Linked DNA regions of Arabidopsis thaliana. The protein of the gene in region 1 interacts with the protein of each later gene in a pairwise test. Each region holds a gene or a part of one and is shown on either strand. Other genes may lie near its edges.

Evidence for each region.
Region 2: the proteins of WRKY41 (region 1) and AT5G11010 interact in binary tests that used the Arabidopsis thaliana proteins (3 or more experiments, as listed by UniProt).
Region 3: the proteins of WRKY41 (region 1) and IAA30 interact in binary tests that used the Arabidopsis thaliana proteins (3 or more experiments, as listed by UniProt).

What each region holds. Positions count from the first base shown.
Region 1 is NC_003075.7:6,757,105-6,761,394, reverse strand, and holds WRKY41 (WRKY family transcription factor), read right to left. Parts: upstream 2,298-4,290; 5' UTR 2,093-2,297; coding exon 1,740-2,092; intron 1,599-1,739; coding exon 1,470-1,598; intron 1,118-1,469; exon of another isoform or gene 1,092-1,117; coding exon 632-1,091; 3' UTR 601-631; downstream 1-600. Other genes in the region: 3xHMG-box1 (HMG (high mobility group) box protein), read left to right, coding at 42-133, 210-294, 390-497. UniProt on the Arabidopsis thaliana protein: Transcription factor. Interacts specifically with the W box (5'-(T)TGAC[CT]-3'), a frequently occurring elicitor-responsive cis-acting element.
Region 2 is NC_003076.8:3,481,728-3,486,867, reverse strand, and holds AT5G11010 (Pre-mRNA cleavage complex II protein family), read right to left. Parts: upstream 3,237-5,140; 5' UTR 3,005-3,236; exon of another isoform or gene 2,715-3,004; 5' UTR 2,693-2,714; coding exon 2,526-2,692; intron 2,269-2,525; coding exon 2,171-2,268; intron 2,059-2,170; coding exon 2,019-2,058; intron 1,939-2,018; coding exon 1,781-1,938; intron 1,701-1,780; coding exon 1,517-1,700; intron 1,429-1,516; coding exon 1,251-1,428; intron 1,169-1,250; coding exon 1,069-1,168; coding exon of another isoform or gene 1,037-1,068; exon of another isoform or gene 983-1,036; coding exon 801-982; 3' UTR 601-800; downstream 1-600. Other genes in the region: AT5G11020 (Protein kinase superfamily protein), read left to right, coding at 1-5, 94-183, 280-429. UniProt on the Arabidopsis thaliana protein: Polynucleotide 5'-kinase involved in rRNA processing.
Region 3 is NC_003074.8:22,993,745-22,997,372, reverse strand, and holds IAA30 (indole-3-acetic acid inducible 30), read right to left. Parts: upstream 1,688-3,628; 5' UTR 1,539-1,687; coding exon 1,172-1,538; intron 1,042-1,171; coding exon 945-1,041; coding exon of another isoform or gene 941-944; exon of another isoform or gene 835-940; coding exon 780-834; 3' UTR 564-779; downstream 1-563. Other genes in the region: AT3G62110 (Pectin lyase-like superfamily protein), read left to right, coding at 1-60. UniProt on the Arabidopsis thaliana protein: Aux/IAA proteins are short-lived transcriptional factors that function as repressors of early auxin response genes at low auxin concentrations.

The DNA.
Region 1 (4,290 bases):
TAAGTCAGTAACTAACACAACACATGTTTTCTTTCTTGCAGAAGACGAAAGAGACGGCGAAGAACAAGAAAAAGAACGAGAATGTTGATCCTAACAAACCCAAAAAGCCTACTTCTTCATACTTTCTCTTCTGGTATATACTTTAAAACCCTGAATCCACAAAACAATCAGATGCTAAACTGGTTTTATAATCTCAAATCTTTTTACAGCAAAGACGCAAGAAAGAGTGTGTTAGAAGAACATCCTGGGATCAACAACTCAACTGTTACTGCTCACATTTCATTGAAATGGATGGTATATTATAAATCATGAAACTCGAATCCAACGAGTAAGATTTTATCACTGTTAGTTGTGAAATTGAGTTGGTTTTGGTTACAATTTTGTTGTAGGAACTTGGTGAAGAGGAGAAACAAGTTTACAATAGCAAAGCTGCTGAGTTAATGGAAGCTTACAAGAAAGAAGTGGAAGAGTACAATAAGACCAAGACTTCGTCGTAGAGAAAGAAAAATTAGAGAATGTTCAAGTTTGCTCATATTGAACATCTCTACTTATGCAAAATGACTCTGCTACTTAAATCGCTAGGCGCTAATCGGGATTATATTAATCTCAAGAATATTCAATACTGTACTACTTAAATCGAATTGTGGAAAAAAGTGGGGAAGCCTGTGTTAATCTCAGCCGTTGGATCAAATTGAAAATTAACGTCGAAGATTGGAGAACTTCCTGTGGAAGTATTTGTTGAGATCAATCCAGTGAAATCCGACGGACCAGAACTTCCCACGTGGTGGTAAAACGTTCCACCACCGTTGATGGACTCGTAAGTGTATAACGGCGACGTGACGGGGAATGAGAAAGCTTCGCTTCCAAGTCCGCCGGTACGTACGGTAAGACTGGCCCTGAGATTCTGGTAATTTACTGCTACTGTGTGTTTTGGTTTGGTTTCTCGTTTCTCTGGAAGTGGGATCCCCTGTGAACAAGTGTGTGTTCCTCTGTATGTTACTTCGAAGATCGTTGGATCACCGTCCGATCTTTGGACTTGTTTCGTAGCCCAACAGTACTGTGTGTTACGAAATGTGCATCTGTAATAACTCCTGCAATAAAAACACAAATTAGTCCTAAATTAGTAAAACTAAAACTAATTTTTTCTTCTTCTTAAAGCCACGTAAATTTAGCCAAAAAAAACTATCTGATTATATACAAATCCGACCTTCATATAGCAAACTCGGATAATAATTTTAAATATCTAATTTATCTTGTATTATATTCAGAATTATTCATTACATATTCGATATTTAAATTATGCAAAATAGTTTTTAATATGAGAATACACTTTGAATAGTAATTTTAGGTATATATTACTCATATAATTATACTCAACATTTATCCGCTGCTATTAACCAATCTTTTAACAAATGTACTATTCGTAAACATGATGATTATGATGATGATGATAGAGTATGATGATGTACCTTGGGAATTTGGCGCCCAAAATGTCTTTCTGGCCATATTTTCTCCAGCTGAAGATATCGTCATGAGGTCCTTCTAAGCCTCTCTCTGGGCTAATTCTCACTTGCTCTGTCCACTTTGGCAACATCTTCCTGCAAATTTTCATTAATTGTCAAATCTCTAATTCAAAAAATCTGGCTATTTTTTTTGAATTCTAATATTATTATTATTATTATTAAATTTTAATAAGCTTTTCTCTTCTTTATAACGCTAATTTAAGTTCAAATTTTTACCTCTTTTTAGAACTTAAGTTGAATTCTTTCGATCTTACATTGAAAAACTCTTCGCTTCTCGGATTTCCGGTGATCGATGCTGGAGATCCTGGAACCTTTCCGGGATGAGCTAGGGGATCAGGCGCAAGCTCTATCGTTGGATTGTGTTGTGTGGTGGATCCGTTGAGCATCAAAATAGCTTTTTTGAAGGAAGAAACTATGTTATGTAAGAGATTCTCCTTTATCTCCGTCGTCAAATATGAAGAAGAAGCTGACAACGATGGAGAAGACGAACCCTGAAGCTGCTTGGCCGCTTTTAGTCCATGAATTAGCTCGTTTAGCAAACTCCTCCGCTCCCAATTCATCATTTCCATGTTACTTTTAGTGTCTTGAGTAAATTCGAAAGGCGGTAAAACCCCGGTTTACGGTGACCGGAAGAAATAGTTATGAATTTTTTGGAAAAACTTTTGACATTGAAGGTGAAGAGATGTGATAGCTTTTTAACTTTTTTATAGTAAGGTTTAGATTAAGAACATGTGATTGTGGTTTAGGAAAAAGATGTGAGATTTTTGGTATTTGAATGATGAGAATGTACTAAAACGAAGCGTGTTCTTTTGGAATTTAAAGGTTTTAAAAGATATGTTTGAAAATTTGACCAAGTGAGCAAACTATTAAACAAATAGGAAAAAGATTCAAAGTTGAGAAAGTCTTTGGTCTTCATTAAGAATATATCGTTTCAGAGTGTATAAGTGGTGGTGTTTACTATAGGTCAAATGCTGACCAAATCAACTTTGGGTTTATTTTAGTTTAACCAAGTTGATTAGTTATTTAAATCTAGTGGTTTACTAAATAATTATATTATTAGGATAGAAATAAACTGTACCTTTTCCAAGTATTAACTTTGTTAAGGTTCTTTTTCAATATCTATCTGCAAAATGTACTATTACATTGATTTCTATTTTGGTAGCAACAAACCATTTCTTGTATAACTTGTTATTCTATTGACGACAACCGTTTTTGTATCATTTATTTTGTTTGTGTTCAACATCTTCAGATAGTCTACCAGATTTAAATATGAAATATATAGCATAGCAGACTAGCAGTTATAGCACAAATATTAGATACCAAATCTCAATTATAAAATATAGTACAAAATCAGGATGAGCTAACTAAATAAGTTCAACTGTATTTTGACATTCTAATTAATTTCTAACATTTAAAGATGTAAACAAAATTCCATGATATCTTAGAAAGTTACAGTATGATTGTATGAAATGAACCATAAACTATTACAGAGAAAAGTGAGATGACACATACATTCATAATTCAATACAAGATCGTAAAAAAAGGTTTCTGCTGACCAAGTCCATCCATCGTCAAAGACTCAAAGTGTATCAAATTAAAAGAAGTTCCATCTGAAATTCCATATCTCATGATTGATCTGTAACTTTACTGCCATTAGTTGATTTTTTGTCTTAATGGACTTGGAAGATTAGTTTTTGCTATAACATATTGAAAGTATATCCGTTTTCATTACTAAGTCCACGTACCTACGTGTTGTGTAAAGTTAAATACGTTAATGTGACATTGTGATGCATTAGTGTATACTTAAACTATAAACAAATATTTAGAGTCTTAAAAATCTTATCTTATTATATAAAGTATGGTTTTCAAAGTTTCTAACTCATAGGATCGTGTCCACGTGTCAAGTCAAACGATCAGATGTTTACATGTGTCATTTAAAATTTAACTTTTTTATTCTCTTAAAAAAATAGAAAATCTTAAAAAGTAAACAAATTTACATATGCTAATTAAGTTACTAACTCATAGAATCGTGCCACGTGTCAAGTCAAACGATCAGATGTTTACATTTGTCATTCAAAATTTAATTTTTTTATTCTCTTAAAAAAAATAGAATCTTATTATATAAAAATTAAGATACAAAAATTTAACTTTTTTATTCTCTTAAATTCAGCATCTGCTATTTAGGCGGGTCTAAGATACAAAAATTAAGTTTTATCGATAGAAATTTGTATAATAATCAATATATTTTTCTTGATATTTAATTTAATAATTATTGGTTTAAACAAAATTTCAGTCTTATCCATTCTATTTTAATTATACACACTCAATCTTATGAATGATATTTGAATTCTAAAAAGTAACCGATCATCATTCTATATTTAATTTAATATCTAGAAAAGAAAAAGAAAAAATAAATTTATATCTTACACATTCAATTTTGTAATACAGTTTAACTATCTATGTCATCATAATAAACTCGATTTAAATTCTACACACTTCATATTGAATGATAACATTTTCATATCAAAATAATATTTATGACATATCAAATCTATATCCTATTTAGTATTAAAAATAATTAAAAATTAACAAAACATAATTAATAGGCCTAGGCATAATACCCCAACCCTAAGAACCGATCCGAACCCGAACCCAAAATTTTCAAAGACCCGAGCGGTTCTGAACTTCAAAACCCAAAAAACCCGAACCTGAATAGGTATCCAAACATATCTCATATATAAGTATATATTAGTTATATTTATACTTG
Region 2 (5,140 bases), on another chromosome or scaffold:
CTTGGGTACATATATAATAAACTCATACTTATGTTTCTCTAAAACTCTTAGACTTGGAACCAACTTTGAATTGTGTTTTTTTATTCTTCTCAGGCAATGCCTTATCTCACTGATAGAACCAAGTTACCAAGCGTCATAGATCCTGCGATTAAAGATACGATGGACTTGAAACACCTTTACCAGGTACGTTTGAGAAGGATTTAGTTGATTGTGCAAAGTATATAGTTGGTTTTGATGAGATAGTATCAAGAGTTTTGATGCGAGCATGTGAATGTGTAGGTAGCGGCAGTGGCGATTTTGTGCGTGCAGCCAGAACCGAGTTATAGACCGTTGATTACAGACGTCTTGCATTCTCTTATACCTTTGGTTCCAATGGAACTTGGTGGAACCTTAAAAACCATCAAATGTGCTTCAATGGATCACTGTTAAACACCATAGAAAACCGGTGTTTTTTTTTATAGAAATTCGGTTTAATATTGACCGGTAGGTGGTTTTGATGTGTATATTGGGTTAGAAGTTGTAACCGGAACATTACAGTATCCTTTTGAAATGCTTACTTGCGCACTGTTGATGAACTCTTTTCTCATGTGATTTCTATTTACGAAAACAAATGAAAATTATTATAAGTTGTAAATGGTGACATTAGTAGTAGGTGTGGACAAGACACATAACTAACTGCGTCTCCAAGATGATCTAACCCTGGTTGCATAGTAAGTTGAACTATAAAAAAACATGAAACTTTGTAGATAAACTGACACATAGTAAAAACGAAGAACTGAGCAAAAATGTCTTAAAAGAAATCAGGTGGAAGCTAAGACGTTGGCAGATAAATATGGCGACCTGTAATCCTTCACCTCTAAGAGGCAAGTAGGTAACTGAATATAGCCTTGCAATAGAAGATCAACTTTCTCAACTAAGTTTTCTGGTACTGGAGTGATCACATATAATATTCCTCTCTCTGTGTCAATACCCCTCACGATTCCTACATTCAACATCCAAAACCAACTTCAATACATAATCATAAACCCATGTTCGATCACTGATTGCAATGGATAAATAGAAACTTACCAAGACCTACGCATGATGGCAAATCCTCAAACACCTCGGTGCTAATGCCCAAACCAACAATGGAAGCATTCAAACTATAATACACTTCAGAACTTGGGATCTAAAAAGAAGAGAACCCCATTATTGGCATCATCAATCATATGGATTAGAAAGATATGACCTTTATACTGTTTTCTTTTTACCTGACAATGGAGATGGTTGATTGTTAAACTCGATATTGGAACTTCATAAGGAATATGGGAAGCGAGTTCATGTGTTAGTTCTTTGATCGTGTTTACTTCTTTTCCTTTAAAGCATTGCCTAAAGTAGGCGATTATACGCATGTCCCTCATCAAACGAGCATCCTTATGTATTAAAATGCTGTACAAACAGGATACAAAAACTTGTAACTACTCGAACAAAGCGTATCGGTGAGATTATTCGATAACTAGCATTGTACAGGACTTACGATTGATTATATCTGTCTTGGTAAGCAGATTGGATCTCTATCAAATGAGCTGTCTCATCATCATTACCGTCTAACCAGAACAACCCAGCTGGTAGGTTCTTGTTGTAAGCAGAGATGTTAATTTTCACAACGTGGGAAGGGGAAACATATCTCAGCACGTCCACCAATAACTCATAGCCAATTCCTAAAGGTTGTGAATCATTTCTATTAGTGAAAGAAAAAATCTGTTCCTTTTGTTTTGAAAGGATAAAGAGAGTGAGTTACCTTTAACCCATCCTGGTGTATTAATGACAAGCGGCAATTCAGTTTTGTTCTCGCTAGACTTGCAGAAGTGTAGCTGATAGTAATCGAATAAGGTATATACATATCTTAAATATGCCTTTGGATCCCTCTTTGAAGAAACATCACCATAGAAGAAGCATCTGAATCATCAAACAAAAGAGAAAGGGGAATAAGTCGCTTAAATTCTTAACATCACAAAATTTGCTTGATCCAAACTAACCTCTCTGGTGTCTTTACACATGGAACTGTCCAATCCGATTCTACAAAGTAGAAAATATAACCAGAAACATAAGTGACTGAAACAGCATTATGAAAACAAGTTTTCGGAATGCAAACAACAAGAATCGTGAAAGCAATAAGTATGAGGGTTACCTAGAATTGATTTATCAACAATTGTGAGAGAAAGGAAACCAGGTGCAGTAAATTCAGGCTGGCCAACATCAGTATCCAAATAAGCAACCCTTTTGTATCTGTAAGAACCACAAAGGTCAATTGTCAGCAAAACTTATCGAAACAAAGCAACCATCATAAGCCACTTAAGAAAATTGCATCCATTCAAACTAAATCTGGTTCCATTCAAATTATAAGAAGTAGAAGGTCAAGACAGTTTTCCCCTGATCGGAAAAAAAAAAAAAAAAAAAAAAGACAGTTTTCCCCAATAATCAGACTCACGAACACTCATTAAAAGACCGGGAACAATAAAGAGAGGCTAACGGAAAGTAATAACCTTTGGAGAAGAACTTCAACAAGATTGCGTGAAAATGTGCTTTTGCCACTGTTTTTAGGGCCACAGACCAAAGCTATAACCGGTTGCAACGAACTGCAGGAAACAGAACTTGCTGCATTTGACCATTCCTCTGGTATGAAAGGCAATTTATTTTCTGCTTCAGACATTGCAGCCACACCTTATCTTTCTCTGAGAGAAATCATGTAAAAGAGTTCAATAAAAGACCATTTTATAAACAACCAACAAGTTCTTAACTGTGTTTTAACAAGGGTTTAAGCTAATGTACATAACAAAGAACAAAATTCATCTTTTTCTACCTAAAACACGAGTATTAGAGACTCTGCTCAAATTTGATGTATCTAAGCTCGATTCTACTAACCTAAAACATCACATCAAGCTCGATATGCCCCGATTAATCTAGGTAAAGTCTCTACGAGGTAAGACATCGTAATAGAGAATGAAGCTCAACGTAAACATACTTGTTAAATAACACGGAAAATGACGAAACTAGAAAACGGTCGGAAGAAAAAACTATAACCGGCGATTTTTGAGTCGTCGACCAGAGGAGAAGGTATCGAGCCGTCGGAGAAGCAGAGGGAACGATGAAAATTTAGGGATTTTAGTTTCTCCTAGTGCTTTCGAAACCGAACCGGAACTTAAACCACAATTAATAGAATTCGTTTCAAATAAAAACCGGTATGGTTAAACCCAGAACAAAGTGTTAGCGAACCGGAAAAAAAATAGGAATTACTCGAGAACGACCTTGTCTAATGTGTCTATTCGAATGTGGATCAAAATTTAAGATTATGTACCTAGAAAGTTTGAACATAAACCAAAAAACGAGTGAATGAGTTCGAACTGGGAGCTATGTCCGCTAGAAGAAACGACAGCCAGTGTAGCAGTGGCAATGGCAGAAGTAGAACTGCGTACGGAAGACTACTAGTCTAATCCTCCTTTCAGGAGTGCATACACAAGTGAAACCTATGAACACGTGGTTTGAGTTCCACTTACACAAGAAAAGGCTTAGAACAACCAACTAAAATTAAATCAATCATGAGCTTCTATATAGGTAATACTCATTAGTCATTAGACTCAGTTCAATTGGGCTTAATAATCAAAATAAGAATATCAAGTTGGATTGTCAAAAGATTAGTATCAAACAATACACATGCAAACGTAAGAGTGACAACTCTAGAGCCATTGTTTATAAGATTTAATTTGGTACCTAGCTCCTCATCTCCAGCAAATTTTGTACGTAATATTATTTCGTTAAAATAATGAACTTGGAGACATGAACCTGCTCTTTCCCACCAATCATATATATATATTTCGAGATCTCAATTACTTCGTAGCAGCTAATATTCCGCCGATGAATTCATTATTAACCATATATTTTCAAAATGCATATATAATATATACTTTATTTTTTTTCGTCATATAATATACACTTTTCTGAAATACAAATAAATTCAAAGTTTTTCACAAGTTAGTGAAAACCCCCACATGGAACAACATTGTTTGTATTAACATATATTTGTTGTGTCCTTATAATTATCTTCACAATTTATTTGCCCATTACAAGGTTCTCGGATCTGATGATTAACTGGTAAATACATAAATTACTATTTCTCCTAAAGTAAAACAGCTATTAGTACCAAGATATGAAATCAGAGGTTGTAAAAAAACAATTAAATCTTTAGCAGTAGCATGTAGAATTTATCTCTACACAGTTTTTTTTCTTTCTTTTACACACAGCCTATATTTCTACTTTTTGGTTACCTTCTTAATAGGATTTTTGTGAGCGGCCAAATTATTGTCATTCTGGTAGAAGATTATACCAATCATACACACAGTTTCACCAAATCAATTATATAAAAAAAACTGCCGTTTAGTCAAAAGATATTAATGAAGTTGAAGTAGGTGCTCAAAGAAAAGAAAGGTATTTGAAAAGTTGAAAAGAGAATCTAAGAAGTGGACAGACAGTATAAGAAAATGAAGGTCGACGAGACTCGAGAGAGGAGGGGTTATTAAGTTGAATTACTAAAAGCGTGTTGTCGTTTCAATCTGACCTGGTCTTAGTCTTCCACATGAGAAAATTCAGTCAACCATTGCTCTCAAAATCGTTTCGTTTTTCTTATAATTTCATTAAACAAAATCAAGTATACATACTCTCTTAACCACCATTTCTTCAAAATTAACTTTAGATAACTTTATGTTCTATATATATATATACTTTCTTTCTTCTTGTTAAAGTATTGTCCAGACTAAGTTTGGAAGTACGAGTTTTTGTCAATAAATGAAACAAATATCCTCCTTTGATTTGAAAGTACTCGAAAAGATAGGAGACAGAGTAATTTTGAAGCAAACCATATTGCTAGCTACAAGTAAGTGTAATTATTACATGAAATTGTTTATTGCTATCAAAGATCTCACTTGTACAATCAAAAAACATGTGGATATGATCCAAAGATTATGGCATGGGATGAGACAACAAGGACTCTTTTTGCATTAGCTATACCAACTTACTCGGGAGAACATTGTTTTAGTAATATGATTTTTTTATTAAGTTCAAAATTATGCTGATTTTAGATCGGGAAAGAATTATTTTTACTGTC
Region 3 (3,628 bases), on another chromosome or scaffold:
GAAAATAATATGGAGATATCAAGTGGTTTAAGTAGATCACCATGGTTACTTTCTTGGTAAGTTACTGTGAAGTTTTGAACATCAAAGGGGAAACACAGTTTGCTTGATTCTGAAGAAACCTCTTCGATTTTGAAAAATGATGCTTTCTTTCATCTTTTGTTGTTTTCGTGTAAATTTGTGTGCAGTGAGGAAAATAATCAGAGTGGCTTAAGAGTTTTTGTTTTTGTTTTCCTTGTATGGGCTTTAATGCTTTTGGTGAGCGGAACAATTGTAATATCTCCGACAGAGTCTGTTGAAATTTTTTGACAATTATTTTTCAATTTCAGATTCCATAACTAGAACAACTATATTTCACTGTTTATTCCGGTAAAATAGTTGAATTGAGAAGTAAATGATAGTATGAAAATATGAAATAGATCTTGATTTGGTTAAACTAGTAACTCAACTGAAACTTTGTGAAAACTAGAATACGAATATGAACCTAATTCAGCAGTGTTCCAAAACAATTCATATTTCTAGTATTATCTAATCTATGTCTAAAACCATAAAAATAACTACTAAACCAAAAAGGATCTGCATTAGCTACAGCTTTTTTTCTTGAAAAAAATAGCTTCATTACAAGTTACAACCGATTTTTTTATAAATGTAATAAAACTAGAAACAAAATTTGAATAAAATCTCGAACAAGTGATTTACATTCAGACAAAACTAACTTTTTCCCCCACCACCACTGACTGTATTGGTCAATCCTAGATTCTTCCAAGTTTGCTTTTAGAAAATCAGTAGTGATAAGCTCTTGAGATCTTTAGTCTTCTCACGCTAGACAAGAACATCCTACATAATCAATTAAGTCCCCATTAATTAAAGGGAATTTTTACATAATTATGTCAAAAAAAATACTTAACTAGAGATTTTTAATACACTAAAATTAAAAAAGAACTTACTCCCAAGGAACATCTCCAACCATCATCCAGTCACCTTCTTTGTCTGCGTACGTTAGCACGTGACTCTTCTCACTACACATATCTTCTTCTTCAGCCCCTATTTTCACAATTTTTTTATTGCCATTAGTTTTGGTCTTAACTATATACATGCAAAGAGAGGTATAACAAATATAAATATTAACTAAGTCTACATGCAAAGATGTAATTAAGTGTGTGTAGATACTTACAAAGGATTGAAGCATTGAACATGTAGTCGAGAGTTGTGATCAAATCATGATATCCATTAAGAGATAAAAGATCGATCTTTCTCCCAATAGGAACTCCTTCCATGTTCACTTTCACGTAGAAGCTTCCGACACTATTACACTCGTTTTGCTCTTCTTCTTCCATGATCATCATTTCCTCTGCCGCACCGACTCCATCATATTCATGGTTATCTCCACCGTTGTAATATTGTCCGGAAGATGATCCGAAGCTGAGCCCGAGTCTCAGGTCCGTGCTTAGGTTCCGAGTATTACTCGAAGACACACCAAATGGGTTGCTTTTGCAGCTGCTCTCTATCGATGAAGACGATGAGCTTCTCCCTCTTCCCATTTTTTTTTATTTCTTTTACTATTTCTCTCTCTCTATGATTTTATCTAAAACAGGTGATTAATGATTTGAACGTGTGTGTATTATATATAGAGAATGGAAATTTTTATTTAATTGTTAGAGCTTAAAAGGAAGAAGTAATAATATTGGAATGGTCTTTCTGATATGTTTTTTTTTTAATTAAAGAAAATGGTGGAATGATGAGACAGTGTTGTTAAAGATGTTGTCCATGTAGCAGACAAATACACGTGTCATGCAGACACTTGGTCAAAGTGTTGGTTTTGACTTTGTGCTCGGATTTTTTTGCTGGGTGTGTTCTAATTAAATTTTGTTTGTTTCAATGTAAATATACTCGACTCCTAGTACTACCTTTCGTTTAACAAAAAAAAAAAGAAAAAAGATTGTTTGATTTCTTATAAAATAATTAGGGTTGGATTTTAGAATTAACTGAATTATTTTGTTAAAACACTATAAATGAATAAGAAACTGTGACTGATTTAGTTTAAAAAGTTTAGGCTTAGATTTAAGGAATCATATGAACGTAGACAAGATAGTTCTAAACCGGATAAGAACATGTTTTCTTAAATAAATGTAGACCAATGTACAATACATAGTTTACTTCATTATCCGTCTTAGTAAAATCAAGTTCAATGCATGAGACTATCGTGACGCGCATTGATGCATTCGTGGGTTCGACAAACAACACTTCCATAATTAAGGTTTTTTTTATAACCGCGAGACACTTTAAGCAAAAAAAATGTTTTTGTTTTAGCATTAAAGTATGTCAAAATGTTTTTTAAATTGAATATCAACTGCTAAACACGTCTCATGTACGTCATTAACTCTCTAATAATGTTCTTTAATTATGACAAAAAATATTGAAAATAGTCTACGTGGACTCCATTGTATCTAAGCATGACAAGAGTTTGAGCTTTCCATGATTTTAATCCACGTCGCTGTTAGTAATTACACTCCTCTACTAATTTGATTGTTCCTTTTAATTTATCTTATCATGAAGCATCTATAGTCAAGTCCAACCACTACTATATTTTTCCAATACTAAACCAATTTACCAACCTTTTATGTGTAGCAATCAAAGTGAATCAAGTGGTGCTAATCTCCCACAAATCTTAATCAGAATTTCTGTATCTTTTCATGGCAGAGACCAAAACACATCATATTGGTGATCTTAGTCTTATCCGTCGTTAGTATTCAAAATAGTGACTTTAATAAATGCTTCTCTTTGGTTGGCACACCAAGATTCTATTTGTGTAATATTCATTGGATTTAGATAGAAACATGTATGTGGTATAGTCAATTCGGTTGATATATTAAACTTTGGTCACCAGAAAAAAGTGCATGCTTCTTGGTTTTGTACGTTACATGTAATAAATTAGAAGCGAAGAAACAAATAGAGGGGAATATAGAAAAAGAAAGAAAATGAGAGAAGGGAAGCATGAGTAATGAATGCGTAACCTTAAAGAGAGGAGCTAATGAGAGATGCTTCGCCTATGGACTAAGGACTGAGGATACGTCACAATTCTCACACTCCAAAACATACATATAGTTTTGCAAGCACGAGACAGTAAACACTATCGACAACATTTCACGTTCCCCACGTCACGTGCCTTTTTCCACGTGTCTCCTCACTTTGTCGCCTCCACTTCCACTCTTCTACAATCACTCCTTAAGCTTCTTCATGACCTACCAATCAATATGATTAGAACTCTTTGTTCTCTCTTTTATAATTGGAAGATTTTGTCCAAAGTTATTTTTACAATCAAATCATATTCCATTCCGTCTTTTAGTTTATATGTACAACGTAACTTGTTTCTTATTTTTAATTAATGGTTTTAGAACTTAAAGTTTTACGGATTACAAATAGTATTCTTAAGTATTAAAGTGTTTTTCATATTATATATAGTTTTTTAAAATAATTTGAAACGATCCTGAATCTCTTATCAAGTGTCTTTATCATTGAGCCAAAAACATATATAGTATACACATTCATACAAATCTTTTGAACCCGAAACATCCAAACAATGTCGTTATCACAATAACCGACATGTATTGCGTAGATATCGTTTGGTTTG